Linked DNA regions of Neodiprion lecontei. The protein of the gene in region 2 interacts with the protein of the main gene of each other region in a pairwise test. Links are inferred from orthologs where the notes say so. Each region holds a gene or a part of one and is shown on either strand. Other genes may lie near its edges. The genes, in order: ubiquitin-conjugating enzyme E2-17 kDa and E3 ubiquitin-protein ligase RNF25.

Evidence for each region.
Region 1: the proteins of E3 ubiquitin-protein ligase RNF25 (region 2) and ubiquitin-conjugating enzyme E2-17 kDa interact in a two-hybrid assay, tested with the Drosophila melanogaster proteins (2 studies listed by BioGRID). The link is inferred for Neodiprion lecontei from reciprocal best matches to the Drosophila melanogaster genes CG13344 and eff.

What each region holds. Positions count from the first base shown.
Region 1 is NC_060260.1:3,776,460-3,793,246, reverse strand, and holds ubiquitin-conjugating enzyme E2-17 kDa, read right to left. Parts: upstream 10,843-16,787; 5' UTR 10,533-10,842; coding exon 10,509-10,532; intron 9,696-10,508; coding exon 9,632-9,695; intron 7,868-9,631; coding exon 7,836-7,867; intron 7,590-7,835; coding exon 7,512-7,589; intron 7,425-7,511; coding exon 7,319-7,424; intron 6,636-7,318; coding exon 6,496-6,635; 3' UTR 5,803-6,495; downstream 1-5,802. Other genes in the region: uncharacterized protein LOC107218795, read left to right, coding at 11,762-12,457. UniProt on the Drosophila melanogaster protein: Catalyzes the covalent attachment of ubiquitin to other proteins. Mediates the selective degradation of short-lived and abnormal proteins.
Region 2 is NC_060264.1:3,153,878-3,170,219, forward strand, and holds E3 ubiquitin-protein ligase RNF25, read right to left. Parts: upstream 10,980-16,342; 5' UTR 10,832-10,979; coding exon 10,806-10,831; intron 10,681-10,805; coding exon 10,609-10,680; intron 10,418-10,608; coding exon 10,177-10,417; intron 9,929-10,176; coding exon 9,710-9,928; intron 9,662-9,709; exon of another isoform or gene 9,625-9,661; coding exon 9,313-9,624; intron 9,202-9,312; coding exon 9,028-9,201; 3' UTR 6,186-9,027; downstream 1-6,185. Other genes in the region: HEAT repeat-containing protein 6, read left to right, coding at 15-234, 314-391, 467-673, 758-874, 952-1,128; PRKR-interacting protein 1 homolog, read right to left, coding at 1,656-2,006, 2,136-2,315, 2,451-2,558; myosin heavy chain, clone 203, read left to right, coding at 3,670-4,893, 5,456-5,515, 5,673-5,974, 13,455-13,494; uncharacterized protein LOC107221289, read right to left, coding at 13,544-13,736, 14,755-15,030, 16,172-16,342.

The DNA.
Region 1 (16,787 bases), on a different chromosome or scaffold from region 2:
TCGATCGCAGCAATTTTCACGGTAAAAATTGTTTGATAGTAAAGGTAATTACTATATTGAGCAATGTTATTGTTGTTTTATTACAACGATCCGCGATAATTAATACAGAGCAGAAACGTGACTGCGCAAGATCTAATCACAAGATAAAATCCCCTCTGTCGGACGGTGTTTTGATAATTAAGATATTTTCAAGGCGTCGATACTTGTTGAAGTGTCAGGGCAATAATTCGCAGTACGCACTTGATTACACTCGACGTTTGTTCCGTCGTTGTGATCGTGAGAATGAAATCAACAACTTGAGAGATTACGATTCCCTTTAAAACTTGCAAATTTTTCGACCTTTGCCCTGTTTGACGAATGGCAAGCTGATAGATAATGCCTCAATGATAAATACGCATAGCTGCGAACTGGACAATTTCCCAATACAGGTTGACATAACGCTTTTCCCGTTTTTTTTTTTTTTTTATGCGGTACGCAAAGAGAAAATATTTTACAAAACCACTTCCCCGAGTTGTAAAGAGCGGTTCTTAAAACTCGCTAGTCAATTCTCCGAACACGGGACCATCCGAACTGGCCTACATATTAGTCGACGAGCCAAGATCGACAACGGAAAGAATATCCGCAAGACTTTTGGAGAGAAGGGGATCCGATCCGGCATGGTCAAGAAGGAAGACGAGGACCACTCAATGGCCTGACTACCTCCAGGTTTACTCTCACCGCTCTTTGGCTTCCAGGCAATCTCTCGCTTCTAATCGGCGAGAAAGTCGGCTGGAAGCTTCACCGTGAATCAATCGCGTGCATTGCTAGACAACGAATGGCTAGGTACATTTGGTACAGATGTAAATATATCGCAGTTCGATACAGCAATTTATCACAATTTGTCGCAAACCTTGATCAATATGTACGTGCATATTTTATTCCTTTTATTCGTCGTTAAAGAGCTGGCGAAATTCCACGAGGATTGAATTGAATTTACATGTCACTCGAATACTTTGACTGCAACAATTTCATGTAAACTAGATCAGTCAGATTATTACTTGAATATTCTTCACGCCGTTCACTTTTGAAATCCGGTAATTGGTTTTTTATGCTTTTAGGATAAAGAAACCGCGAAAGAGCGTTCAAGCGATCATTGACCGCGTATATTCCGGGCATCTTTCGTGTCTCTACAGCGTAATGGGTTCGCTAGCTGTTTGTATACTTTTTCTTATTCTTTTCAGCGTGAAAGTTGAGCTGTAACATGCACGGTATAGTCGAACCAAGACACTCGGCATAGCGCGGACCGCAAAAGTTCATTTGGATTTAAGAAATTCTCATACTTATACTTCGTGTACCGCATTCGTAATGTGCGGCGGCTTGACTAGACGATTTTATTATTCAAGCTGCCGTTATTCAGGCTCAATGATGAACCTACCGTCGACGACACTGCGGGGGCATAATGCAGATGCTGTCAAGTGGACAATATCGACGTAACTGCACTCGCTGCACGCATCGAAGGAAAATTATCACGTTGGCGAGTGTGTTACAAAATACAGGGTAATCGCTTTTATACGATCCGCGTTTCCTGAATGCAATTAGTTTGGAATTTGTATCACAAAACTCGGGAATCTAGATTATATGCTGTCGTCTGAAATTTAATTTTTACAAAAGAAATAAATAATTTTTCATTCGTTGTTCGAACTGCAGCGCAACGACGTTTCTCCTACTTACTAATTTAGAAAATACGATAATTGTCAGGTAGGCACATACGTGTATTATATCGAACGTACGTTGTTGAAAGTACAATAAAAAAAGGAAGCGGGATATCGCGACGCGCTCCAATTATTGTACGTAGCGGAGAATTCGAAGAGAAAATTAAAATAACAAATTGGGTACACGGGATGTGACAGATGCACGGTTTTTTTATCCTCTTTCGGTAGAGCACAGTTTGCTCTTTTTCGAATTACATGCCTGTATAAAAATTTCCTTATCCTACCTGATTGTTATCAGCAACGAAAATGGACATTGCGGATAATACCAAGAACATATCGACGCGAGGAGTATATACGTATATTATATCCACTTACTCTAGTCTCAATTAACCGAAGATGGACAAGGTCGAAACTTTCCACTCTCCCAGAACATCGCGACACACTCGTTAATCAGATTTAGCATCGTTCAGAGACGAGTATACGATAGTACGAATATAATGTAGGAAATATTACGGTCGATTAGCGTAATGAGAAAAAAGTGCGATTAAAATAAGAAACATGAGCAGAATGAAACGAGAAATTGTCCGCACCGTTCACGATTTGATTTTGAATTTGAGGAATAATAATCGCACGTACCTTGATCAGCGGCGCGAAGATTAAACGACGTTTACTATATTCGCGAATTGTTTCGGCTAATAGAGAAACGGCTGCAGTTGTTGCATGTCAGAACTAAACGACGTCGATCCAGCGACAGCCGCCACCGACTCTCTTGGAGGAACGGAAAGGACTGAGTTGACCGGAACACTCCCTCGGAATCCGTTTTGTGTGGACTTCGGTGTACGGCGTTCATTGAATCGGCGAACGCGTGGTAGGGAGTGCAAAGAGCCGCACTGCGCCAGACCGCCTCCCCGACTCCTAGACGAGGCCATCCGGATTCCGCAATTTCGATTTTCCCGCGGTCCCTCCTTTTTCGCAAGCGCAATCACCGCCTCGATCCTTGTAGCAGGTTCGCAAATTTCCCGTGGCGGGAGGCAGTTTCGCAATCCGTCGTTAAATGGGTTTAAAATTATCATCGAATTTTCACTATGTCTCAATTTTTTATCCAAGTTTTTTGAACCAACATTTTTGAACTTTTTTTTTTTAGTATGGTTGGAAGAATAAAATTTCTGTCTTTTACAGTTTGTTGTTTCTGAATAACTGAGGAGTTTTTGCGTTTCTTTTTTTTTTATTATGTGCATATAATTTTAATATGTTCTGTCCTGCGTGAGGCGAAATGTTCCATAAGCGTTTCGGTTTTTTTTTTTTTTGCGCATTTTATTCAATTAAACAAAACTATTTCCTTTCCAGTATAATAACCATGAGATATGAATCGTGTATATGTATAGTGTTACATTATGTATGTTACATTGGTTGGAGAATGATATCGGATACGATGAGAAATTACAAGTAAACGAGGTATACGTAGGTATTGTATATATTTTTATATCGTCTAATTCGTAAAACCTTCTTATCGATTTCAATTTTATAACTAGAGTAGAGCCACCAGTTCAGAATTCGTTTACTAAACTTTTCATCCAGTGGTGTCTCTACCCTGGTAATGTAGTAGGTAAGAAATATTTATCATCTATTGAACAGTAACCAAAGTTAAATACAATAGTAACCAAAATATAGTAATAGGATAATGGAGATCTGATATTGTGAGCATGTAAATAATCGGTACGCACTATAGTAATCGTTATGCAAACTTTATTCCATAAAGTGCCAACGTTTAAAATTTACACAGGATAAGTTATTAAAAATGTTCGTTATTGCGTTATTAACATAATAATTACACATGAATATTTTTCCTTCCTTTCTATTTTATTTTATTTCAAAGTTTTTTTTTTTTCTCCTTGTTTTTCTTTTTAACCTTTCTATTACTTCTTCTCATCATTGTTATTTTTCACTTTTTTTTCACTTTTTTCTCTTCGTTTTTTTTTTTTTTTGTTTTTTTTTTTTGTTTCTCATCTTCATTACAGAACGAACAATTATCAATGGAGGAGAAAGTTTTTTTTTTAAATACCTATACGTTGCCGCGTTTGATTCAAAAGGGGGTAGGGGAGGAAAAAAATACAGAAAAAAGAATTAAATTACAGTTAACTATACGTAATATGTATGTTAATATCATCGTTCGATCAGAGAAAAGATCGAAATCCCAATGAACTTACTATCCGCTTTTACATACAAAGTAGGCATTATCTTGCATCGTTTAATTTGAATAGTAATAATATTAATTCTTCGTTCAAATGAATTTTCCATTACTTTTCCATATTTTTCTTTCCTTTTAAATTTATTAACCTCACAGTTATGAAAAAAGAAAAACCATGTAGGGCAACAACAAGAAACCTGCCTTTTATCTCTTCGCACCAACTCGAGTCAACTTTCGATTTATAAATCCTAGCTTTAAACGTAAAATACATTCAATTATACACGCGAGTCGCGACGCAGTTATATATGTATATATGCAAATATCACCTGTTTTCATCGGAAGTCTATTATTTGAAACAGAACAAAAAAAAAAAACAAGCCATTCGCAAATTTACATTCAATTATTTTTACCAAGCCGGGGGTAGGTGAAAATTGAACCCAACGCCCATATTTAAAACATATATAAGTATAGTAGGTTCTTTGACATGAACGCGAGGATCGAAATAACACTGTTTAAAGACGCTAAGGTATTCTATTGTGTACGATTATTACATGGTTTTAAATAGTCTTATTTAGTGTACAACGTATGTCTTTCTAAAATGATAAACGCTATTTTGATGAGCATATCCATTTATCATTATTTCATATTCTTTTTTTAAATTTATTTATTTTATTTTTTTTGTGTTTTTTTGAATATTTTTAAATTTTTTCCAGTAATTATTATCACTTACAAGTCCGTATGATCGCGAGAACGTTGGATACATGTATTTTTCATTGTTGAGAAACGAACAAAGAGATTACTTTTTTCATGTTAAATCATCATCATCATCATCCTCATCATTATCACCATCTCATTGTCATTATAATCATAATCATCATTTTTATCATCCTTTACAACCACAATATATATATATATATATATATAATTATAAAATACAAAGTTTTGCGAATACCTGTGACAATAATTAAAATTGATACACATATCTCATCACTATACATATACATTGTTAATTGCTATTTAAAAACATGGGCAAATTACAAATCATATACTGTGTATTATAATATAATATTGTATACTACGACTTCTTTTTTTTTTAGATTTTTTAAACGTCATTTTTTTTTTTTTTTCAATTATATTGTGGATGAAAGGTTTGCTCATTCCAAGCAAAGTCTAAAAAATAAGAAAAAAATGAGAATAGGAAAAAAAAAATGAATTGCATGTAAAACGAAAGATCATACGCTAAACGGAAAAATTACTCTACGCTATTTAAGGTGAAAAACACAAGGAGTCTACATTAATGATAGGGGGGTTTGAGGGGGACGGGGACACAGGGTGTTGGTACCGAATGATTTTTTAATTTTGTATCGCAAGAAATGCGGCAGACACGCGTGAAAAATCCGCGTATGACTTCTCGCGAGGACCCGACGTACAGTTTCAGACGTTGCAACTGGCCATCTGCAGGCAAACCGCTCGTTAACTATTATCATTATTATTATTATCTTTATGGCAGTTGAGTGTAAATGAACGTATTACTAATGTATGCATGTATGTATGTATAACTCGATACGGATACAGTTGAATGATTTTTTATCATCGGAACATCGTTAAACGGGTGGAGGAATTTGAATAATGAAACAAAATTTATAGGTATAGTTTCAGTAGTATTTATATATAGAAGCCCAGTCTTACAAGAGAAAAAAAAAAAAAAAAAAAAAAAAAGTAGAAATCACCGCACATTTAAAAGGACGGGCAAATGTCGCTTCCGTTACACGTCGAAAAACTAACAATCAGCAGGTTGTCAGTCGAGGTTTTTTTTTTTTTTTGCTTTTTCATTACTTGTTAAATCGCTTGTTTTGTTTCTCTCCTTTCTTTAAATATTGTGTAGTTTATTCATTTTGTTGCCTATATCTTTTCGTTTTTTCATCTTTTACCAAGAAAGTAGGTGTACAATATCATAATATCATATAAGCACAATTATTAGAAATAGTAGTATCTCAAGTTCAAATATAAATCCTACTTTTACTTTCCTATATTTGGTTATTTTAATTTAATTTATTTACGAAAATCAAAGCAGATATTATTAATCGATATTACTTGTTGTTGTTGTTGTTGTTTTTGTTGATGTTGTTGTTGTTGATGTTGTCTTTATTTATTTCTCTTCCTTGTTTCTTTCCTGTTTCACATGTGTTTAATTATTCCAATAATATTCGGTCAGGGAGAGAGGATCTTTGCGTGTGTGTGTGTGTGTCTGTGTGTGTACGTGTGCGTGTAGTGTTTTGGCTTATTTGTGTGAAAATGTGTATCTTGCGTGAGTGTGAGTGTGTGACCACCTATTAAAAATTCTTAATTGTCTCAACTGCTGCTGTCGCCGCGGCATCGTCTTAAAACCCACTGGCTATTCTCAGGACGCGAAGGGAGAACAGATCATATTGATCACAACTGGTCACGACTGGTCCGAACGTGTTCTACAAGCTTGGGTGGCAGTGCGAACGTATAAAAAGAGACAGGCCGCTGCTAGGTTGAATCGGTGTTGATCGGTTAGTGGCATAATGATGGCTGGGGTTGTTTGCTGACAGACGTGGCGTTTAGATGTTAAGGTAAACGAGAATTGGCGCATCACATGGCATACTTGCGCGTCCATTCGCGTGCCAATTCGTTATACTTCTCCCTGTCGGTTTTGTATATCCTTGCTATCTCTGGCACCAGTGGATCGTCAGGATTTGGGTCGCACAATAGAGAACATATTGACAGCAACACTGCAATTATACAGATTAATCATAATTATTATTCATCATTTTTCACCTTCATCTTTCACTATCAATTATTCAATACCACAAAATACGTCCTTCCATTTCTTTTGCAACGCGTGTCGTACGTGCAGAATGTTTGAACCGAGTTGTTATCGCAACAATATTGTTAACAATATACACTCGTGATATTTGCAACAGATTACCAACTGTGCTAGCAGAATTTTGCCGCCAATTGGAACCGAAAAGGAAAAAATAAATGAATAAATAAATAAAAATCACCACAGTATATATCGTTGAGAAGTCTGCAATCGCAAACCGTGTTGAACAGAAAATGGACACGCGTGATACGATGCCAGAGATATCGAAGATACATCATAGAATTAAAAATGGCAAAATACGTAGTTCGATCACTATAAATAGTTCAAACGTTGCACGAAGTTGGCAATGACACAAAAAGTGCAATAGAAATGGACGTGGCAAAACATAAATAATTATCTATAATTGATCTCTAACACCAAGCAGTGCCGATAAAGAAGCAAATTTAATACAGCTACTATTACATTGTGATTATCTGAACTGCCTGGTCGAGGAACGAATGTTATAGATATATTTGAAATAATTGACAAGGCAAACTATTCGTGTTTATATGGTATTGTTAAATTTAATATATTAAACTATAACGAATGTACCCTTTGAAATAGTAAGTGCTGGCGACCACTGCGATCTTAGTATATCCAAGCAGATACTTCCGTTACTGTTGATATTGGGGTGATAGATTCTGGTTGTGAAAGCAACCTAGGAAAAGGACATATGCGTTGAATAATATCGAACTGGTTATAAGAACACATAAGGTAGTTGGATAAAATTGACACGTCACCGTACCTTAGGAGGCTTGAAGGGATAGTCTGTTGGGAAGTGAATTGTTAAGAAAAATACTCCTCCCTGGTATGGACTATCGGGCTGAAAATATATGCATGACATTTTTTATATGCGACTAAATTTCCACCTACTGTTGATAACTAAAATATATATATAATAAGTTAACGGTACATTATGTAAACTGTGAACATAATATTGAAATGACAATTTGCTGAACTCGTTTTGAGAGATGTGCGGTATGCGATGTAGAACATGAGACGAAAAATGAAGAAATCACAGATTAGATGTTGTGTGAGGATAAAACGATGAATATTGTTTATTACTCACTGGTCCCATTATGGTGGCCTGCCAGTGGAATACTGAAATTAAAGAAAGAAAGACATACAATTGTATTGTTGCGAAAATGTGTAACATGAGAAGATAATTATATATCTAAATGTTTGTTCATAGATCAATTGGCCAGCCAGTCATATCCAAGAAGTATAATACATGGAATAAGAAGCAAGTTCCTAACGAGTTTTCACGTAAGTGTAATTAACATTTCGTTAATGCATTTTAAGCTGAACCGATGTATACAAATCTTAAGACGTAAATAGTAAAATATTTTCCTGCATGAACAAGCGTGTGATAATATTATATGAAACTCTATGGCTAGAGAAAGGAAGTTCCTGTATCCGGATGTCTTATGGATATAACTTTATCATATTTTGAAAATTGAAAGACAAAGTGTCAAGTTTCAACGTTGACGGTTTGTTATGAAATTAATATATGCTTCTCATTTCATACAAATAACATTCTCGGGAGTTGGAAAACTTTTCTCAAGTCTCCGCCAAGATAGGGAGAGGGAAAGGAGGGAAGGGAGAAAAAGATAGATTAGTCGTAGTCTGGCAAAACAGCAATTTTCTGTCCTATTGTCAAGTCACATACTAACGATACCCAAGAGGATGAGTCACATGGCCCAAGAATAAAATACCATGACATGAAAGCTGCTGAAAGACTTTTGAAGCCGGCTGAAATAGTTTCAAGCACCCGATTCATTGGTGTGCGGATAATGAACTTGGTTTCAATCTCAATTGAAAATTAAAATGCAAGTTTATAGGCAAAGTTCGTTAGTTGTTCAGATAAATATTTTGCGTTCAGGCAAGTTGAAAGCAAATAAGCATTTCTGTAAAGATTTTCAAACTAAGTATCTGGTCAACATCGTGCCGACCAGTCGAAAGGGAATCAAGTTTATTTTATAATTGGCATTCAATACCAAAACCTGTTGCAATATAAACTAAAAAAAATGTAGAGAAAAATAGTTTGAAGAGCAGGTATTGGTAAGTAGTGGGTGTCGACTACCACATTGGTCTGAACTATTTATAGATTCTATATGAATGCTAGCAAAATTCTTATTTAAAATTCCAGGTTATCTGCCGTAGTAAAGGCAGAGCTTTTATACATCAAAGAAGCATTCATCCTAATAAAGGTAACGCTTATAAGTACTTGCGCATATACCGAGCAGTCAGTTATATCTAACCGACATGATTAAAGACGCATTTATGTGTGTTATTGAAATGTGTTGCCCAGTAATGAGTTTTGAAACAATCGCTCTAGCTCTTAACAAAGTTTTCCTTATATTATTTGAGAGCTCATTTCTTACAATCCACAGTTCAATTCATATACTTTATTCTTAATCGCCTGAAATTTGTGTTCAAGACTGACCAGTGTCAGACAAAGAATACTTAAAACTTTTGCTATGGTGAGATATATAAAATTGCCAAATTTTTGAAGCTCTAACATTTTTCAAATCGTGAAGTTAAATTTAAGACAGTCGAAAAGAGACATCGAGGTACACTTGGCAAAAAGTACAAGTCTGCAACTGTTGATTCTGAACTTGTAAATTCGAACAAAGATAAATTATATGAAATATATGAACAATGGGTGACATTTCTGAATCACACAGACAAGTAATGAAATCTCTAGCTGCAGTTGTAACACCTGAAACTTTAAGATTTCAGGTGCAGAAAAATTGAGTCAGAGGAAGAAAGATGAAGATGTTTTGGGCGAGGCAGGAAGCGAAATGAATATGAAGGAGTCAATGTCGACTTATTGGAAATAAGGTGGTGCAGTTTGTAACTTACAATCGTCTCCTACTGGACCAGCGGAGCATTGTGCAGGTGGATCCCTTCCCAGATCCTGGAGTTCCTGAAATGTTAAAAAACAGAGTTAAGTGCACTTGTAGAATTTGCCAAATCAATTAGCAGCTAGATCTATGCTTGATTAAATCGCAACGCCACTCGATATCAATGACTCAGAATGTTCCAGAACATTTTCTGGTTATTCTACGAGTTGACCATAACAATCAGGTCCAGAGATCAATGACGTCACGATAACGTTCCAACTGGTTCTAAGCCACAGAAATGACACAACGCCAGCGAGTCTTTATTCAAAATGGCAAAGATTTTGTCGGAGGAAAAGTAACGATGATAAAATATTGGTAAATTTGTTTTATCCGGACAGCGATTGGTTTATTGCGCGAACTTTGCAGGTCATGGAATTGGCGTTTATGGGGGTATATTCTTTTTTTCTCCCAGTTTCAGAGTTATCTATAGCCGTGTATATAAGCACATGTATATGGATGGATATATAGGTGTAGGCATATACAGACATATAACGCAGGGTTTTACGTTACTTCCGGCTATTTATCGGCCATCTACCAAGGATTTATCGTATTTTCACTGTCATTGTGGAATAATCACAATGAAAATAATTGACCGAGCAACACGTTGGGAATACGGTGATTTGAATACGCGATGGGACAGGCGATAAACGAAAGCACAATCGGGTAACGGAGAGTCGGAACGGTGAAAAAAAGGGGTAAAAGCCAACATGATTTTCAATGCTGGCTCACATTGCTTCACTGCAAAATTGTTAAGGGCGTTCAATTTGATTTAACGCACAGCACACTGTCCGCGGATACTTTTTATGAAGTATTAACACTAGGAATCGTTGACGTACCTTATTAATTCGTTTTAAAGCCATTTGATGGACTGTGTATTGATATAAACTGGCTGAAACCCAGACAACGAAACCCGCTAGCCAAGGATCTTTGATTAGGGATTGCAAGATGGCTGCCTTCTAAACGTCGTCTCACTACGTCGTTCAAGCTATTGTCTGCATGCCACCTTTTACTGGCCTCCACCGACTCGCCGGTATCGTTCAACGCGGGGAGAAATTATCGGAATTTCAAAAATATCCGTTAGCCGACTAAAATCCAACGGCACTATCGATTCGATCAGTTTTTATTCACTTCTTGATCTCCAACTCGATCCAGACTCCACGGATTTCCTTCTACCGGCGAACGCGGATTGTAGAGACTTTCGCGTTATGCGCCGCCCGACCGGCAGCCGGTCATTCGGTTTCCCGCCATACCGACGCGGCATTGACACTCGTCGAATATGGCGGCTACTTTTATAAAATCCTCATTTCACGTAACCAGCATGACGTAAACAGATTTTCAAAGAAGCCTTGTGACGCGCAACCGCGTATTTCACACCTTTCTCGGCGTGTCAAATCTTTTTTTTTTCTCTCTTCTCTTCTTTTTGCGCGATTCGGCTACACAGCATTTTATTAGACGACTATTCGAAATGTCTTTTCAACCTGCATTTAAATTACGTTCTATTTCTGTAACATGCGATATTTTTCGGAGGGATTAAAATTAGGTAACTCACAAGTGTGTACGTCATCTTAAATCATTTTTTTTTATTCGAAGTATCATACAATTCGTCAAATTCAGTTTAAAACTATCGAGTCCTCCTGCAGCGTAGAAGAAAAACATTAGGTATTTATTAATAAAAATATTCGATCATACGGAACAACGTTCTTCGGTAATATGAATTTCTACGAATGTATATTGCGGAAAACGACGCGTAATGTGTATGCAGTGGATAATATTACATCTGTATCCATGTGGAGTGGATTAATCGATGATGAAACAAAACGCAAAGAACAGACGTCACGCGTGCCACGATGCGAGGTTACATAAACCGTTAACAGGAAGGAAAAAAAATAAATAAATATAAAAATTAACAAGTCTAAAGGCGACGAGCGTAATACGGTAACGGTACAATAAGGCATGCGCGATTTAACTTGCTGAACCGAAGTAAGAGAGGCGAAAAAAGTTATATCAAAAAAGAAAGAAAGAAGTGGGGAAAAAAAAAGAAAGAAAAGTAACAAACCCCGAGCTCTTTGCTGCGTGTAAATTGAGTTTTATGGCGGAGCAGCGTAAGGCGGGCGAGTGCTTCTGCAGCAGACGAAAGAAAGGCACAGGAGGTAACAAGCCGAAGCCGTCGAGCAAGAGAAAGCGGCAAACGCTGGTGCACAATCCGGACGAAGAGATATGGCACGAGCCGTATATGCACTGCCTTCGTAAGGAATTTTCGCAAAAGTCGATACCGTGCGACTCGAAGATCGAGCTGCCGTGGCGAGACATCGCTCTCCCACCTGTTGCCATGAGGATCAGGCCTAACGTCACGGTCAAGGAGGAGCCAGTCGAGGAGGCAGCTCAGCTCCGGGAAATCGGCGGCGAGGACAGCGAGGGAGTCGATTCGAAGGAATCGACCGGGAAGATGAAGCTCCCGTGGAACGACCTCCTGGTGATGGACACGGTCGCCCCGCAGCCGCGACTCCGGGCCGACGGTGCGCTCTGCGATTCGACCCTGGAGATACCCTGGGAGGATCTCGCCTTCGAAAGGCCGGTTGAAATACGCCCGATACCGGAGGAGGAGCTCTGCGATTTAGACGACGTCGAAATCCCCTGGGAGGACATACTGCTCCCCGCAAACATCGTCATCGAGGCCAGGAAAAAGAAGCACCCCTCCTCCAGGGGCCCACCGAATTATCTCTCCGCCAGGGGTGGTGCATGTTGCGGCGATAATCCCTGCTGCACAAAGGCCAGGCGAAAGTGACGTGGAAATTTTTTAAAATCATGAATTGTACGTATGTGACAGAACGACGAGGCTGAAGTTAGTAACGTTATCGTATCGAAACGTTGTAATAAAAATTACTATTTTGAAACTTTAGAATAACTAAAAAGTTGAATTTACTAAATCTGAGTTTGTTCATGCTTCATTAATGGTTTCCTAAATTTTAGAGAATTCTAAAGTTGAAAAATAACGAGTTTCTATAGACGCATTATTACAATAACGTTATAAAAACTTCAGCCTGTAACAGAACGACATTGCAGTTCGTCGCTTATCAACGATAATGTCTCGGTTGCATATCGCGGTCTGATGTTGGCAGCGATTCGGTTTCGTATAACGAATTATCGAGGTGCGAGCCATACAATCGAAATCCTGCGAGATCCCGTGTTCCGCTCCGCTTGCTTGTTTTTTTTTTTTCTCTTGCAATTATTCACATTTTTCTTTCTCCTCTTTTTTTCTCCCTCCCGAATCCGTGCGTCTGTGTAACAAAGTCGACTGTACCCTCAAATTGGAAAGTCGTCATGACAGAATGCGACGGTTTTAACGCCCGCCACACTACCATTTCTCTCCGCGATCCTCCGTTTGGTCAGAGTCTCGCCTCCTCCGGCCTAACCTCGGTGTCCTTGAGCCAAATTACACCACTCGTCATCGCTGCTACGGACTCGGAAGGCGATTATGAAACCTCCAGCGAAGGTCATCACAGTCCTCGGGCAGGTGCAGACTGCCGCAAACCATCGAATAACTTAGCTCGTTCTACCAGCGGTACCATCGTCCCCCAGTTGGTAGACGCCGTCCTGTTTCCCGATGAAGATAGTGCCCCGCAAAATGAGCTCACAGCTGCCAGTAACACGATCGTAGGTTAGCGTTCTCCATTCACGATCCTCGCGACTGATCCGGTATCCTTGTCTGACTGTGAGTCCCTATAATAACGCATGATGATGAATGAGATAAATGATGAACTGCAGGCACCTCTGACTCGCCCAGGATCGATTTACCGGAGCGTCAGACCCCGTCGATGGGTTCCCGCAACCCGAGCCATCGGAATGAAGGGTCAGAAGTGTCATCGAGCACGAGTGTCGATGTCGACGAAATGAGCCTGAAGCGAACGGAGTACTTCGTGGCTCCAAAGGTCGAGAGCGATGCGAACAAGTCGGAGTCCCTGCCTGTGATCAGGGTCGCCACACCCTGGGGATCCTACGAGTATCCCGACGTTCACATACCGGCGGAACGTCTGGTGTCCGACTCGCCGGTTGACATCAGGGAAAAAATGCGGCTGATAGCGGCGTGCATGGACGGTTCGAATTCCTCCGGCACGACGAGATTTCACGACGAATCAAGACATTCCCTGTTTCCGGAGTTATCGGAGGATGCAGACGCGAGTCCACGATGCAAAGCATCGACAGATCGCGCGAGCGAAGTGGAAATCAGCGGCATGTATTGTCGCCCTGTTTCCCAGAGTTCACGCTCTGCAAGAATAAGAGTTGTCAATAGTCTCAAGGACTCCGCCGAGGCGTTGAACGTCCTACCGATCACAAGGAATTCCAAATTTGCTTCCGATTACACCTTTTCACCGAGTCTAAGTGGCGCTAGTATGCCACCTGCGACGCCGAGCAACGAACCTCTCAGTCACAAATGTTCAAGTTTATGTCACCGAGAGTTGGAGTCCCAGCGTTTGACAACGACGAACAAGTCGTACGATCCGCTCTCCCGCATAGAAGGGGAACTTGGACCGCTACAAAACGAGCTCAGCGAAATTCGCGGCAAGGTCAGAGCTCTGAACCTCGACTACAACCTGTCCTGTATCAATGGCATGATCAAGCTGCCCAAAATGATGAATTGGACGAGGTCCGATATCCTCGGAAACCCTGCATGCCGACCTCAGGTCAAACCTGTCAAAGACGATTTCATTCTAAGCGACTATTTCCGCGCAGATGACAACCCTGTTTTTCAAAACGAAATGGAGGCTCCGAACCTCCCAAGCAACCACAAGGTCTCGGATTTCGACGGGACCAACTACGCGACTTATCGATGTCCGTTTGTCCAGCTGTTGTCCGCAGCTACCGAAGTCAGCCCGACGTTCTACGGCTTGAAAGACCTCATCGAGGCCAAATCGACTGAAAACACCCTGAGTCACCCTGGCGTGGACATTGGCGTGCCCGTGGATGAGATTGGTGGCTCGGAGAATTGCAAACAGGAAATGGAATGGCCATGTTTCACTTCTCCACTGGGTTGTACGGACCGAAAATTGTCTTCGGTTCATATTTGCACAGCATCGCCTCCGAGGCTTGACAATCCAAAACCGGAAGTCGGAACCCTTGAAAGTGAAAAAAAGGTGGCGGAATCTTCCGAGAATCATCCGACAGCACCGGAAATCCGACTTCCCGACTTTTTGGACAGAATTTGTATAGTTCCGATCTCGTATATTGGCCCTATGCCCGATCCTCCGGCTGAACCGGTGTTCAGTTTTTCTAGGCCAGAAGAAGCCGCCGTCTCTAGAGCCGGGCACAAAGTCTTGAGAATCGAGCATCCTGATGTCCCCTTCAATCGTCGAGACCAGAGAGGCAATCGGAGTGTCGAGACGTCGTCGAGTTCTTCGGGTACGGTTTTGACCTGTGAAAGGCCAACGGATCGTAGCGAGACGTCGATGTCCTCTAGGAGGGAGCAGGACGATTCTTCGAACGAAAGTTCACTCTGCAGAGGGTCTGATAGAATAGGGCTGAAATTTGTAAAAAGGAGTTCGCGCAGTCATTCTTCGACGTTTGCACGGAGGCAACAAGTCGGTACTGAAGAACCATTTGTTATACGAGGGTTAATTTGTGGGCCGGAAGATTTTTTATGACGGATAATACAATAATTTTTATCGAGAATGTTGTCGTTCTATGCTTGATTGATGGTATCTGAGTGTTTTATTCTTGAATACATACGAAACGAATGTGTATAACACAAACATATATATACTTGGTTACATATGTATATAATACTCACGCTACCTCAATTTATTAATTAATCAATCTCAAAGGCGAGGGTATATGATCCCAGCCATTGGGTTGGCATAAATTAGAGCTGCGTAGTCCGGATCGTAAGAAAGATGCGACATAGCTGGAAGAACACCAGTAGGTACCGCTCTCCAATTTTCCAGTGGAGGATATCTGCATTGACGTCGGCGAGTTACGTCACGTTTTTGTACCTCGATCTTTGTGTTAATAACCGTATGGGGGGTTAAACTGTATAGCGACTTCAATCGATGAAATACGACGGAGTATATTTCAACGCAATGGATAACGAGCTTTATAAGTTGGTTGTATATGCAGGTAGAATTTTGAGACGATGGAATCCGTCACTTACAGATATTCACGTTATTCCGCCTGGATTCAGACCTATTCAAATTTCAATATAGAACCACCGGGAGAAGAAATTGTACGCTTATCGAACCATTACACTGATCGTTCATCATTCATGTATCTATAACAGAACATGACCTAAGTAATGACAATAAACGCCTGTACAGGTTTTCCTATTCAAACTGAAAACTCGGTTTCAGTCTACTGGTATTATTTGCCAGTGAACCAATTAATTTGCACTACTAATTGAAGCTGAAATTGTAGGCGATAATTGCTAACAAATTAATGCCGTTGTAACATTAGTAGTGCAAGTGTATGACAAAAATAAGAGAAAAAGAAAGAACACGATGGAGCCTCGCATTATCAAATCATCCGTTTGAATTTACCTTTTGCAGGCACGTTCATTCTATGTGTAAAGGTGAAAGCCGCGGCACGTCATCACCGATTATCAATGCCAGATACCTACGTACTGATTGTCACAATTATGAAAACAGCATGCTTTTTCTGTATATAATATTAAGCCAAGCCTGTAAGTGAGAAATTGGATTGGAATTTATAATATTTTATGTTTAAGTTTAAGCTTCTCCAAGAGTCATATTCGATTATTCGAAAAGAAAAACAAAAGGCGAAAGCCTTGGGTTCACCCGACGGTCGGAAGGAGGAATTTCGACGTTACCGACGCGGCGAAGAAAGTCGAGTGGTGGCAGCACGGTCGGCGGTGGGGCGACGTTCGCAAATCTACATTCGCGTGACGGGTGGCGGCAGTGAACGAGTGACGTCGTGACGGTGCGCGTCGCGACCGAGAACGAGCGAGCGAGAAAGAGAAAAAAAACAGACAGAGAGAGATAGAAGGAGCGACGGATGTTCTCGGCGAAAATGGCGTAGTCCAGCGAGTGTCGCGACGTTGAAGCGACGTTCCTCGCGATTGGTAATACGGCCGAGGTGCCAAGTTCCGAGTAAATGCCGGGCAGTCA
Region 2 (16,342 bases):
TTCTTATACTACAGGGGAAACAATGACGTTGAACCGATTCCTCTTGAAGATGTTTTACCCCGGCTTCATCAAGCTAGTGTAAAAGCGTCCAAAGATCACGACAAAGTGAAGTGTAATGCTGTCAGAGCAGTAGGAAGCACGTTGTACCTGTGTCCCGATAAACAAATCTTGAGGGATACATCGCAGGGATTAGATGCCCTTGTAAACTGTGCGATTACAGGAAATGATATGAAGGTGAACTCGGATAGGAACACGGAAAAACACAGATGAAATGTGAAAGTAATAATAACTTTCAAACTTTCCGATACTTTAGGTGAGATGGAATTCGTGTCGCGCTTTGGGGTTTGTGCTCAGTCATCATCCAGACAGAATTCTCCCATTAACATGGAGGGTAAGTGCAAGGAATCTTCTGGGAAGTAAAAAGTGAGTTGATCGTGAAAATAAAACGACGCAATTTTCTTAATAGGACCAGGTATTTCCAGCTCTATGTAGCCTAGTCTGTCTCAGTCCAAATTTCAAAGTTCGTACCAATGCTGCATGGGCCCTTTCAGTTTGCCAATCATATGGAAGGCACATATTGCTTCTGTGGAAAAGCGTTGTGTCGGCTTTAGAGAACTCACAGCATGTTCCCAGCTATGTTGAGTACTCTCATCGTGACACACTTGTCCAACAGGTTTGTGGGTTTTTTTTAACCATGATTAATCACATACTCAACGCAATCGAACAATATATCAACCAATCAACGTGATCCTCCTAGCTCTGCCTTACCCTCAGCCATCTGGCTGTTCACACTTTGGCTTCAGACTTGCCGGCCCTGTGGGACGAAATTAAAGACCACATCGATGATACTTCGGTTCAAATGAAACAATTTCAAGTACGTCCAGTGAAAGACTAGATCTTTCCATTTATTAATACTCAGTTACACATTATTTTTTGTTATTAATTTTCTAGGAACGTGTTTTACCTGAAAAAGCTGGAGATACAATTAAAGCAAAGGAGCAAATGATAAAATACTCTCAAAACGCCGCCACATCACAAGAAAGACAAATTGCCAACGCATTGATTAAAATTTTTGAACGCTCAGACTGCTATGACAATTTAGATATTAGTTCAACGATGAATTATTGATCATGAAATCTTAAATAATCCTGGATAATTGTTGAGAAGTTCCTACTATAGCCAATATTTTACAGGCTAGCCTGTACGTGGATCGAATGTTATTCCAAAAGAGTGGATAGATCTGCTACAGTTGGTAGGTTTGTTGAGTAATGATAAAACACAGTCTAAGGTTTCCGCAATTCTTTCACGTCTATGGGTCTTAAACAGATGGAAATGTTTCCCAGGTAAAAGAATTGAACTTTTATAAAACCGCCCCAAATTTTAAAGTGTTTATCTTATAAACTACTGAAAAATCCAGCCTTCTGAACATCGTACAAACTTATCAACCTTTTACTAAAGTTAGTAACCAATAATTACTGCCACAGTAACACAACAGACTTTCCATTTTACAATGTTTTCTTTATCATCTATCTGTAGTCGATTACTTGTAACAGTTATGCTCACGATGATAAATTTGGTCTGGAACTCGCATGTCAAAATAAACATACCATTTGTAAATAACTTATACATTGTCTTGTAGTAATGTATATACGTTATCAATGATTATCACTTTCAATTTTACTTGTCGAAACCTCAGTCTCACAACTTCCTTTACGTTCGTTACTGTCAACACTGTTGTCGAGTTTTTCAGAATTGTGATTCATACTTGGAGTAACACTGTAACTTTTCACCACAATATTTTCTTCAGGACCTGAGTCATCGGCTGGTGTATCGCTATGCTCGCTTTCGTCGCTCTGGCTGTTCTGAGGGTTTGAAGGCTTCAATTTTTTTTTCTGCCTTTGTCTCTGTTTTTTTTTCAACCGCTTGGCTCGCCTTTTGGCTGTTGCATCATTCGCTGCTTCCTTATTGGCTTCCAACTTCCTGTGGTATTCCTCATCCAAAAGTTCCTGTAATAAAATAGCAATTTGTAATTTGTGAAAAGTTTCATATCCGTTTCAAATAGTTTTCATTAGAGTCTGTACAAGAAAATGTGTATACCCATAGAATACAATTTCCTTGTAAAATCTGACACTGACCTTCTTTCCTTTCTCTTGAATGAATTTCTGCCGGGAATATTCCTTGCGGCGTAAGTGTCTGTACACATGGAATTCTCCACTTCCTGCACCAGCGCTGCTGCCCATTACATTTCGAACAAATTCTGGTACAGTTGGAGTATTCTTGGACTTAGGTCTCTCGGGCAGTAAGATTGGTTTGTCCTAAGCACAGAGAAATGGTATGACTAAAATTTACACATTCTGAATATTCTCGAAACTCTCAGTATGTAAGTTGTTGGAAAAAAAAACTAAGAAAATCTACGATATTCATCTATAAAAGTGTAATTCTTAACTTACAGGATTTTTCATCAACTTCATGAGCTTTAACCTTTGCAAATCGACGGCTGATTTAGCTACGATAGGCCTTTCAACCTGTTTTTCACTTGATTTGCTGCCATCCGCCATTTCTTCCGTAGTTATGTACAAGTAAACTTGCTTTAAATGAATATCCAATTTCTGTTTATAGCCAATACTATTTATTCACGTCGAGACGTTCGTAACAGTTCTGAGGTTACATCCGAATACATTTGAACGTAGCCGTGCTCACGTTAAACGTCACTGATCCGTTTGAAGTTTTCTTCGCATGCGAGGAAATGTGATCTTCGGTAGATCTCAGCTAATTTTGCAATATATATCTTTGTTCTTCGCACGTAGAACACTTGTGAAAAGAGTTGATGCTCGCTCCTCGATGAATTTTGACGACGCGCTGTCAACTGTGCACAGTTCGCTGTTGTTAAATATAGTAAAATGTAACATGGCGGCGGGGTCACCTGCGTAGTTCGAACTTCGAATTGGCAGCGACTGTAGCGCTAAAAGTCATGCCGTGGTTGAAAGGATACTGTACATGCTCTAAGGCCACAGGCCAGCTGGTTCCCTGTTTAGTACTGTTTCAACCACGGCACGCATTTTAATACCACGGTCGCAGCCAATTCGCAGGTCTAAAGATTCGCAGTACACTGGTGCAACTGGTGACGCCGCTGCCATGTTACATTTTGGTACATTTGACACTACCTGTTGATTGAAGGCGTTCGTTCTGTTAGCTCTTACATAAAAAGTGTTTTGAAGTGTTTGTTAGCTAATATGCCTAGAAAAGTAAAGTGCTGTGTTTTAAATCGTTCCGACGTAACATCTGTGCGATATAGGTTACCCAAAAATGAAAAAGCTCAACACTCGAGATTTAGCGAAATTAGCGACGTACGTATTATGTACCCGTCTTTTAGTAATAATTTTATAATACGTAAAAAAGTATTCCCTACTCTAAATTCGAATTTCCCGCTACCAAGTCCCTTTTAGCTTCTCTAGTACTGATTGCAACCACGGTAAGGTAAGTGGCGCTGACTCCAGGAAATTCGTTTCTGTTCTAAGAATAGTGCCAGAGATTTGTTACCACAGTGTTTTGTAAACGAAAGAGGCAAACCAACCAAGCAAAGTTAGCCGGAACCGTATGTAAAATTTGCGAATTGAGCAAAAAATGGCAGGTGATCGCAAATCGGTCTGTTATAGAAATTGATCAGTGATGAACGAGCACCGAGTTTGCCGAGATTTAAGAATGGACAGCTTTTCCGATAACTCCTCAAGGTACGAGCTCGACTCTGTGACCTCGACAGATTCGCTGCACTTGATAACGGACGAATTTCGACTAAGGCACGTCTCCACCCCGGACGTGTCGAGTGCGGAATTATCAAAGCGCCTGGCGGCCCTCGAAGTTGAAAACGAGAGGTTAAGAGTAGACCTTGAAAATTCTCAGGTCGAATTGAATGGAAGAGTCGTGGGAAACCAGTCGCTGAAGGACAAGATCACCGAGCTGTACATCGAGGCCCAGGCTTCGCTCCAGGAAAGGCTTACGCTCGACAATGAGTTGAAGAATGCCAAGAGGCAGGTGCTAGCTGCTGAGAATTTGAAGCAGTGGTATCAGGCACAGATCCACGAGTTGCAGGCCAGCAAGAGGGGCCTTCAGGTCGAAGTTGATACTTATCAACGACTGGTGAAGGAGAAGCACGAAGTGACCTTGGCTCTGACTGCCAGGTGCAAGCAGGCCAATGACGAATACATCGTACTGAGTAAAAAGTTGAGAAAAGAGCGCCAGGAGTTGAAGGAAGAAATAGAACAGCTCAGGGCAAAACTTACACTAGGTCAAGCAGCGGCTATGCCACTCAAGGACCCCCAGACTCGCCTGTCGCCCGATTTGTCAACCAAATTGGAATCAACCGAGGACGAGCTTAGGGACACGAGAGTTGAGCTTAAAGCAATGGAGCAACGCCTCCTCAGCGTAGAGGTTCAGAAAAACTCACTGGAAAGTGCACTAGCCAAGTACAGAGAGTTGATATCCAGTATGGGGATAAACATGGAGAAGTGCGAGATGGAAAAAAATGAGGCCAAGAGTCGACTCAACGCCGTGCAGATTGAACTCAATAAAGTTAAGTCTGAGAAGGATGTCCTTGAGTCGACGCTCTTGAACTCCAAACAGGAACATGGCCAAGTTGAACAGGCGATAGTCCAACTGAAATCTCAACTTAACAAAATGATTGCTCAACACAAACTGATTAAAACAAGAAACATCGAGTTGGAGTCTAAGGCCGCTGTGATTCAGGAAATTAAAAATGAGAACAAGACCTTAAGGTCTCGTTCATTTGCTGCTAATAGTGCTCTGTTCAAGAAGCTGAGAGATGCCAAACGGAAGATCAGATATTTGGAGGAGCAAGTTAACAGAGAAGACAGCAGAAAGCAATTGTTTCAAGCGGTAAGCTGGCATTTGAATAATTATATATTTTTTTCTTCATTTTTTACCTAATATTTCATCACTCACCTACATTTATATTCGTATGTTATTGTTCTAATTTTTACATTCATTGCAGTAATTTTGGTCCATTGCTTCAGCTACATTTCATTCACATGCTAGCAATACCAAGAGAAATTCTTCATCCTCATTTTCAATCCAGTTTGCCAGTTCTATATTTTTGAACACAAGGTACTTTCCTGTCATCTACACTCAACACCTGATACGCTCAATCACATAGGGTATGCAATTTCAAAGAACCGCCTATCGTCCTTACTATTTTTCTTTGCAATTACTGAAAAGCTCATTTTTAAGCGTAGCATGTTATACGTCTGTAAAACTAAACCTAGGGACGGAAATTGGCGGCTACAATTGGAATAACAAGCGAAATGCCAGAATCAGAGTTTAGTATATTTGATCACCAACTTTGAAAACTAATTTCAATTCCGTGTTATCTATACTGCACTGCTTTGATTAAGAAATCAACGAAATATTAGCACTAATGAAAATGATGTGGTTATTTCAGAGGATTGAAACAGACTCCTCTTTACAGGAATGTCTCAAGCGGGCTCTTGAGAGAAATAAGGTGAATTCCCAGATCTTGTCCTAGTCTTAATTATAGACTGTTAAAAGATATTTGATATATCGATAAAATAATATTGATTTCTCCATCACTTATTGTGTCATAATAATTTTGTACATTTTCTTCAAACACTTTAAAAACTTGGTTATCTAATTTCCAGGAGCTGAACGATCGACTGAAATTAATTTCAATGGCGAATAAGTTGGAAGAAAGTATTGACGAGGGATATGGAGACGGATTTTATCAAAATATAACTACGGAAATTCCTTCCCCAGTTCCTCTAAATGCCGAATTAATGCATAGTGTAACACAGGTTTTGGCTAGTGGTAAAAATTTACTGGTTCCTGTACAGGCAGGACTGGAAGAACTGCATAAAAAGCTTGAAACCCTTGATCTAGGACATCGTGCACGATTCTTGAACTCCGGGCAAATGTCCTCAGATTCACCTACAAACAGTGCTAGGTCAGTAGCGTGATGTAAATATAAAGAGAAAGTAAAGAAATCATATGAAATTAATATATTAAATGATATATTTATGAAATACAGATGTTGATTTATAATAATCTGACATTTTCTGATATAACTGCCATTGTTCTGTATAGTTGAATGAAAATCGCCAAAAGATCTATGCAAAATTGCCGTGTAAAGATAATTTTTTTTTTTTTTTTTTTCTTTTTAATATTCTCTGAAGTTTTTCTAGTTCCTAATCATAAATATACGTATGTATAAACAAGTGCATAATATTATCAAGGTTCAAAACTGTTCAGCAATACCAACTCTTAATTATTATTTTTCAAGACTTTGGCTTGAATATCAGTATGTTGGTTACTGATAAAAAAAAGTTCTAAGAATAAGTAACACAATTAATAACAAGACCGAATTTGCGTACAACTGTCATTGTCTACCTTCTAATATCGATAAACTGATATACAGATTACAAATTTCGACATATGTTACAATGATGAGTTTTGATGAGACCTTATGGTATAAAATAAGAACATCATAAACTGTGTTGCATTGAAATCATACACTTGAAACAAAGCTGTGCTGCAAACTCTTTGTCAACAATGCAAAAGTTGTTAACACTTATATCTTATTTTTTGCCGGTACTGTAAAATAAACGTAAATCCTGTTTCATACGTGTGCTATGTACGCAACATTTAAACAATAGTTAACGATGGTGATCTATGCATCTAGTCACCTGAGAACTCAAACAGTGATTGGAGTACGTTAAGAGCATCAAAAGTCTTTAAATATCCACTTTGTGCATCATTAATACGGCTGAAAAATTTCTGTGATAATGATATTTTAATTTTTACATCACTGAGTGCCAAGATAGTTCAGAAATAATTCAGTTTTTGTTTTTGTAAATTCCAAATTCACAATTTAGTGTGGAGCTACATGTGCAATTTATTACTATCAATAGCGAATGCAGTACTGATTAAACTCCAGTTATAACTATTGTGCAATGTTCAGCAAACGTAGATAAGCGCTTACAATTCAATTTCAATTCACGTTTAAATACAGTTCATTATTCATTTACGTATTTAACGTCACTATTTAGTACGATTAATGGTTGACTGGAATGATGCGACAAGTGTCTCTGTCATTATATATATATATGTATATTTGGGTGGTTCCTATTTGGAGGGTGGAAAAATTTTCATTAGACCGGGCCCCAGATGTATTTCAAATCTTTAAAACAAAATCTTTGTCAATTTTTAAGCCGCTACGTCAACTGAAACACATGCCTGAAAGCTCGAAACGTTATAAATAAAAAAAACATTTCTTTATAACCAGTTGGTTCGATTTCTATGACTGGTATAAATTGAAGGAAGTATTTGAGACTTGGCAGAATTGTTACTTATAATGATAGGAAAAGACCATGAAAATTTTGATAGTTATTGTTTGTAAGCTTAATAAAAATGATGCTATTAAGCTTATATGTAAGTAAATTGTTGTTAAAAAGCTTTTATAATATTTTGAAATATTTAGGATTTTTACCAAAATTTATAAAAGATAAAGTAAGTGGTTATAAAAACGTGTATTTGCCAATTAAAACGTTTGGAGCTTTGCGCCGTGTGTTCCAGTTGACGTAACGGCTTGAAACTTGACATAGTTGTTTTTTTTTTGATGATTAGGAACAGATCTGGGGGAGGGTCCAATGAAAATTTTTCGCACCTAAAAACAAAGATCACTGTAATAAATATATATATACATATATATTATACATCCAGGGTGACCCAGGACTATCGCCACATAAGCTACCGATGTATTACTCCCGAATATCTGCGACAGTAACGTTTTTTAATTCCAACAGGAAATTCGTAGTTTGCGAGTTACAACTGTTTGAAATTTACCAATCTGGTAGTATCTTATGGCTTAGAACAGTTGTCAAGCACATGATACTCAAATGACAATCCGCCAGCGGGTTCTTCTATTCTATCAGATGCAACGGAATTAGGCAACTTCATACGGCTGTAATTTGCAAACGAAAAATTTCCCATCAGAAATAAGAAACGTTTCAGTTGTGGATTTTCATGATGGAGACACTGATAGCTTATGGGGCGATAGCCCCTGGGTCATTCTGTATATACATATATATATATAGACACACATATAGGTATATATGTATATTTTGACAACATTTATTATACGGCATATAACATGGGAGTAATTTTTATTAAAGTCTAACAATTCGGAACATTTTTACTTTCCACTCACATCTTAAGCTCGAGTCGCCTTGATTGATTACATTCAATACCTTTATAAAAGTACTGCCTGCTTCTTTATTGATGTCCATCAGAAGCCTTGCATAGCTATAAGATAATCGTTCGAAAAATCACGTTATGCGTTGCCGCCATTTTTCTAAAATCTCACACAAAGTTTGACTAGATATTGCGTATCGATTGGGATATTAGAAACCAGTAAGACAAACAAATGGGTCAAAAAAATTGCATGGAATAAAAATATAGTAAGTGTTTCAAAACTTGGGAAAGTACCGCTACTCACAACTTTTTGGAAGAATACCTGTAAAGCAAGTTTAACATCATTTTAATAATTTGAAAACAACACCCAAAAGTTATTACAAGTGCTAAACTTACTTCCTGGCCGTTTTAATTATCACATTAAACTGTTCAAAACGTAAATCTTGAACACACTGTCTGCAATTAATGAGATGTAAATGAGTCTGAATGAATTACTTAGTTCCTTTCGTATGAAAGTTTACAAATTCATGCTGGCGGTAAATTGGGTTGTAACATTGACTGTACAATTCAAAATTACTGTGATCGTAGACCGTATCCAAAAGTTTCAAATGCATCCCACTTTATATACCGTTACAATGGGAGAGCTGCTAAGGACACCGTTACCTATAATTTAATTACACAAAGACGATTGAAAATGTGACAGCCACAGCTAGTAACGTCGAGTATTACGCTAATAATGCTAATTGTATTGTGTAAATTTAATGACGAGAGATGCCAGGCAGTGCTGAGATTGTCGCGAACCCATTGTCATCTGGGAGTCGTCTCTGGTTGCCGTACTCTGTCAAAGTGGCGTCGATAATTAGGACGACCACGTCCCCGGTTTCGATGACCATGATTATTGTGTCTCTGATGATTTTGTTGCGATTGCCGTGGCTGATATTGATTTGGTTTATGCTGCGTCCCGAACTGCTGAGGGTGTTGCTAATCAAACATTAAATCCGAATAAAATTCGCCATGCATTATCTGCAAACTTTATTGTCGTGCTTTTGTTTTTCAAGAATTATAGAAAACATATTTCAACATTTAGCTTACCACCTGAGTCACCACTGGTTCTTCTTGATTTTGTATTGCAGTTAAACTCGTCCCAGAAGGACTGGGCTCTTCCACAGTACCAGTAGACTCCTCTTCGGTTCGTAAAAGCATTTTAACTCCCTCAGCTTCAAGATCTATTATTCCTCCCCTCTGCTGCTGATGTAAAAATAAGGCAGCCATTTCATGTTGCAGTTCCCTCAGTTCTGCAGTAACTGCAAAATCTTTTGCAGTTTCAACTTCAAACGGCGGTGGAGCAAGGCTTAGATTTTCAACATCGCATTTAATCACTTCGCGGCATACGGGACAGATTGCCTACGATCATTGAAAAATAAGAAGTTTTGCACAACAAGCAAGTACCATTGATTTGTCAACTCTGAAATGTACATTGGAAACCTACTTGGAACTTGTTTTTAGGATCTTGTTGCCATAGCGGCACTTTTTCCTGCTCCTCTCTATAATGCCGTTCAGCAGCAGCTACGTGGGCTGCGAGGCAATGCGAGTGAAAATGATGATAGCATTCGGTTTTAGTGAATTCATCACCCTCTCTGAATCCATAGAGGCAAACAGCGCATTGGCCAGAGGGCAAGTTGCTACAAGTGAGATGTTCCCGTACTAGCTGTAATTAATTAAATTTCCTTGTGAATGTAATTGTCAATGATTAGACCGAGATATAGAAACAGATTGTTTTCCGCCACATCCGGGTCCCAATAACTATATCGATCAAATTCAATACTGATTACACAAATATTGAAATCATGTGTACACTATTTTTATTTTATTTTTTTTCACCAGTACCAAAAATTACCACTAAACATTGCGAACATCATTCATTTTAACGAGGGATCAGAGTCTTTCTCAGCTTACCTCAATCAACTCGAACATAACTGGCTGACCAACAAAATCTTGACACTTAGCTTCTGCATCCGCTTGTATGAGACGAACGGTGTCTTCATGCAATCCTCTTGGATTACGGAGTGTAACCCTTGGCGAAACATCTGGGTAGCCAGGTAGCAGATCCACAACTAATCTCACACAAACGTACTGAGACTGAGAGTCTTCTCCAGTTGATGGAAATACTATGGTCTCAATGCATTCCGGTTCGCCTCTGAAACAACCAGATACCGTACTTGGTAAGCGAAAAAATATTGAAGCTCGACACTTCTGAAATACTGTTAATATTTTTTGTGATTTCTTAACATGCATCTCCACATATATCCGTAGTATGTGTTTGCAAAATAGTATCGTAGTAACTCGAAATATTCGATCCATGGAAAGAAAAGATTTAAATCTGCGAACCTTCGGTTTTCTTTGATGTGTAATTCGTGATCTAGAAGAATAGCTTTGAGAGCTTCGATCTCATCGGTCACCCTGTATAAACAAGAGCAATATCAAGAAATATAATTAAATGTAGAAAAATTTATATTGATAGTGACAGTTTGACACATTCGAGAAAATTGTCACCACGTATTGGGCTCAGTATCATTGCGAATTACCTTTCGTCTATGCCAGGATCAGCCATTATTAGTACTGATAAATGCGAGTAACAATTTGACAAAGGTATTATCTGCTATTTGTTATATTTAATATATTTTGTCTCCTCGACAAATTAGTCGGCCGTTCCGACGTAAAGCGTTTGCTTTACAGATTTGCCTTGTTCGGCAGCTTCTGCTACATTTACAGGTCTGCCAGTTAAAGACTGGGGTATTTTTTTTTATCATTGGAAGACAGATACCGAACCTGCATTCGATACGTGTTATTTAAAAAAGAAAAAAAGCAGAGCATCCGCGATAATTTCACCGTTAAATGTTTTTCAATATAATTCTTACAACAGTCGCGAATGTCGAAACGTGATAGAAACACAAGATGAAAATAATTTTAGCCAATGAAACTTCAATTTTCACGCGCTGGGAAAAATAAAAATAAAATGTAGAATAATAAAAGCGCGGGTGTTGAGTTCGTGATGTCAGGATTCAGAGATTCTAGGGACGTGAATTACATCCCAACATTTGCAAGCGAACATCTTGTAGAATGAGAAATGAATAATACTACGATTATAACGCTATTATGAGGTTGACTCGGGTCGAGCTAATATTTTTGAGAAGGAATCAATTCAGTAGCTGCAAGTTTCTACCGAATTCCGTCCGAAACATGGAACGAAATTTTTGGGACTAGAGGACGGTTGGCAACACTGACAGTGCGCTGTGAACTCGCGCGGGCTATCGTTAAAAATCTTCCGTAGATCAAATTTTTTAACTCAAGGTTGACGAAAAACAATTGCATATCGAATAAATGATAGCCATAACTTGATACAGAATTTTTTCATCTCATCGTGGAGTAAGATCGTTCATCAGTGTAACAGAAGCACGGATCAGACGGGATTCATCCCACAATATTGATACTCGCTACCATGATTTACACACATACTTCGTTGGTAAGTTATTTTGGAATATATATTTTTGTTCATTGCATCCACAGTCTTGTCAATATTTTTGTCAATCACAGTATATTCAATTATATTTTACATCGACTTTAAGATAGATGAACTGCTTACCACATAAATCCACGAATCATTCGTAATATCTGAAATAATCGTAATAATGACGTTTCTGAACAGCCACAGGATTGGACGCATATTTTCACACGTTGCGTATTATAACTTTCATTGAAAAGAATCCAACGGCAACAGTGGTTGCTTCTCATAAAACCGGCGACATTGTTTCCAGGAGGCGTTTATGGAACATTGCAGGGTAAAATAAAAACGATGCTAATGAGTATTCAATTGTCTTTTTATTCGCATAATAAATTAAGCCGTCTGTGCCCATATCGCGTATCATTCATTAATAATTCTCTTCTTTATCATACATATTTACAATAATGCAGAGACAGAAAGAATATCATCGAAACTACAATGTTTTTATATAATAACATAACGCGTTCGCTCCTTGCGAAAAATCGTTACATTTTCACTATTCTAATCTCTATTGGTACGTACATGTAATAATTCTACATCTGAGTAGCGCGAACGGAAGATCGTGCCGCAAAATCCATCGATACACGAATAATTACATCATATTAATTCATAAATTAAGTTATTATAAACTATAGTTGTAATAGACTCTCTCGATTCTATACTTATTTCGACGAAATTTTTATCACTGCTGAAAAATTTACTTTATGCTTTTTCATATTATATAAAACGTATACTAATCACGTGGATCTCTTTATGGAAGTTTATCACATGCATATGCGCGTACCCATTACACTCTGTTTTTTACCCCACAATGCATAATGCAGTAATTTTCTTAACATACTTCAATTTATTCATTATAATTCGACTAAAATTGGTCCTACTCACACTGACTACACCGTTATAGTTATACATTATTGTATGTATATCATACGTATGCCTAGATGTATAGGTACCATGTTATTATTGTCGTTCCGTAGTGAATTTATTGTCATTGTGAATTTCGATCGAGAATATTACAATACGGCCGAAGTGTAGTGGACGCTACAGACATCTGTCTGAATTATGTTTCAGAGGAAAAGTAAACAGATTAGTCAATTATTTTGATGCGTTTCTAATATTCGGTTATACAGAATTTTTTAAATAACTCATTCAAGTATCGCGAATATATGTTCGCTGCTAAATAATATCACCATAGGTATAGCAACTTTTTCTTTTGTTACGTAAAGAAAAAGAATTCTTTTAAGTAAAAAATTAAGGTTGCTTTGTGTCTCCAACTCTCGAGATATTAACAATTAATATCTCCGTTGCAAAGTATAGGGTTGCATTATATATTGGAATTATAAAGTGTCCACAATTTTACCGCTATAAGTACTTCTTACTCTAAACATAGCCGTACGAAACGGTCGGAAGTAGTGAAAAGGATCTAAGTTTTTGAAACATTTGAAAATCTTTAGGAGATGTTTAAGTTATAGCAGTTGCAATTGATTAGATAATAAAGTTAATCGCAGCCGAGAGACTTTGGAATCAGAAATATTTTAACACACAAACATGTATATATAATATATATATATATACATATATTATATAGGTATATATTATTACACTGTGTCATATATAGCTAATTGAATACGAAATAATTTGTTTATTCTTCTTTTCTTTTCTCTGTTTTCAGAATTGGAACCGTGACGTGTAATTCGCGTGTAATTCGTTGACGAATTATGGAATTTCCATGCAAAGTCATTATAAGCTGGTGTCGCGTCGTCAGTACGGCACGTTGTCCCTGAGATGCGCCTGTTTCCGGTACTCGTAAGCCTCGCATTTCCCCCACCACGATCTTCGCTGGCAGGCTTTTTGCGGCTTCAGAACAAAACACTTTGTCTGTACAACGTTGAAGAACAATTTCCCAACGAAGTTCGCCGACGACGTTCCGGCCATCTTCAGACACGTTCGAAAACTGAAAGTAGGAAAATTTAAGAAAAGAAAAACAGTTGAGTATAAGGTAACGTACGTAAGATTAATATGGGCGTATACATAGGTATGATATACATATATTATATACAATACCCCTCGTATCCATTCCCTACCACGCGTTTTTGCCAGTTTTAAAATAAAATATCTGTACAGAATAGATAGGTATTACATTTTCGCAGTTAGATGAGACATTATGAAGCCTGAAAATTGCATATAATATAAATAATAATATAATTTATAACTTTAATGAAAATTAGATTCGTGTGAACTTAATTTTCTCGCAGTAATTATAACTACTCAGGTGTAAACCTGAATTTTAAAGCTACACACATGTGCTCTGTATAGATATTGTACAAGCATAATAACTACGGTATATATCGTCACACGTTGTGCCATAACATTTTGCTCCACGCAAACTTTGTGTACACACGATTGTTTCTAAGTCTTAACCGATCGCCGTTGTTAGAAAGTAAGAATAAATTGCGAGAAGCATAATTTTCTTAAACAGAGTTCCGACGCGATCCTCTGGCGATAAATTAGAACGAACTGTTTTCCCGTGATTCTGTTTTCTATTGACTTTGGCCCGCGTATATTTTAGAACCCGAATACATAATAACACAGATAAGGTGTACAACGCGACCGCAGTCTTTGGAATATCAATACAGATATCCTTAGATAAAGTGGCTAAGATTGTTTATTGACAAACGTATAGGTTTATTCACATGTATGTATAGGTATAATAAATACTGTGCGTATTGAAGTAACAATATAATTATCCGCTCGTTAGATTCAAAAACTGAGAAACTCTTGAAATCGGTACCACATAATTTTTCTTTAGCTATCAATCGCATGATCGTTACGCGCTTGATCCTCTTGCTCGTGCCCCCCACTCACCCCAACCTCCCCACTTCATTTCCTATACTTTACCGCAATTAACCGGGACACTTGTCGCGGTGCGTGGTATTTGAAAGATAATCGCGCTCCGTTCGGCGAGAGCTTACCGCTCGTCGCAGGCACAATGCATGAGGGTAGAAATTCCCCAGTTGAAGAGGTCGTATTTCGTTTGAAAGGCGGGTATGAAGAACGGGCAGGTGGTGTCATGGCGCCGGCAGCACGCGTCTGCCGAGCCGAAACCACCGAGATTGGTGTACTTGGTCGCTCTGTGACCCCGACCGCACCACTGCGTCCCGGGTATGATAAGGAGGTCGCGTTTTCCCCGGTGGCGTCCTCGTCTTCTTCGCCTCCGTCTATTAGACTCGTCCCCGTCATCGTATCTCCTGCGGTGCAGACAAACAACCAACGCAAAACCGGACATTTTCACCCTGTTATGATCGTAACCACCTGATTCTTCTAATACGCAATTCTATCTACAATATATGATTTACAGATTTGGGATTTACACACTGAACGATATTCGTTATCTACGTATACTACGTATTGGGATGCAGACAGAGGGAGAACTCGAGGTGCCGAAATGTAGCTGTGTTGATACGAATTTTAATCAATTGTATCAGCTGCTGCAGCTACAGGGTAAAGCGAAATTTTTCTATCACATTTAACAAATACCCATATAATATACCTATGATATATTACAAGCTTCGTGCGGAGAATTATCAATCAATTTTTACACTTCACGTCGGTTATCGATCTTGACGTTTACGTAAACAAGCTTGCAGCGGCGTCCCCGTTGACGCTTGATCGCTGCATCGGTGCTTTTTACTCCGCTTTCTTATCCTCGCTTTAGGATAACGTTACATGTCAATCTACCTATACACTTGATATAATATAAGGGTTTCTGCGTCGTTCGATTCATCTCGTTCAACGACGTACGCATGGCATGGCATTGTTGTGTGTATAGGTATTATACCTTATAAAGGTACACCGCGTCGTGGTGGTATGACTGCGTCTATTATAAAACATGCCTTTAACAATACGCAGAAACTAGATATCGGGGTGTGCTGTTTTTCTTTCTTTCTTTCTTTCTTTTTACCGTCATCTTTATCTGATAGATGCTTTCACTTTTCATTTTGCAGGCGAATTTTTGACACGTTATCGTGAACCTGGTGGGAAAGGAGGACGAGGGTCAAGGAAGCTATCGAGATACCGGCGGCGATGGCGATTATGCAACGGCGACGTCAACGACGGCATCGGTGGTGTGGCAGGGCTTTGGTCTCGACATACATCATGCGCATACAGTAACACCCGTTTCCTCTTTCATACCGATAAGTATGCGACATTTATATCCCATCGTTATTGTTAAATATTCTTCCTCAATTCTCTAGAGGTATCTATGTATAGAATTTGAAAACGACTGGACATCATATCGATATAATATCACTGCATGGATGGTCTGGTTCCTATAACTTTCTCCGATGTTTGCTATATTCCTCTTCTTCTTCTTTTTTTGTTACTGTTTACCTTTGGTCGCATCCGCAGTGACTGAGAGTGAACGGCATGGAATTGTAATAATCGTAGCGTTGGGTCATCGGAGGAATCGCCCTGTGACAATGATCGTGGCGACGACAGCATCTGTCCAACTGATCGAAAGCCCCGAGCTCGTTATAACGCGATGCTAGCTGCGTCGGTCCG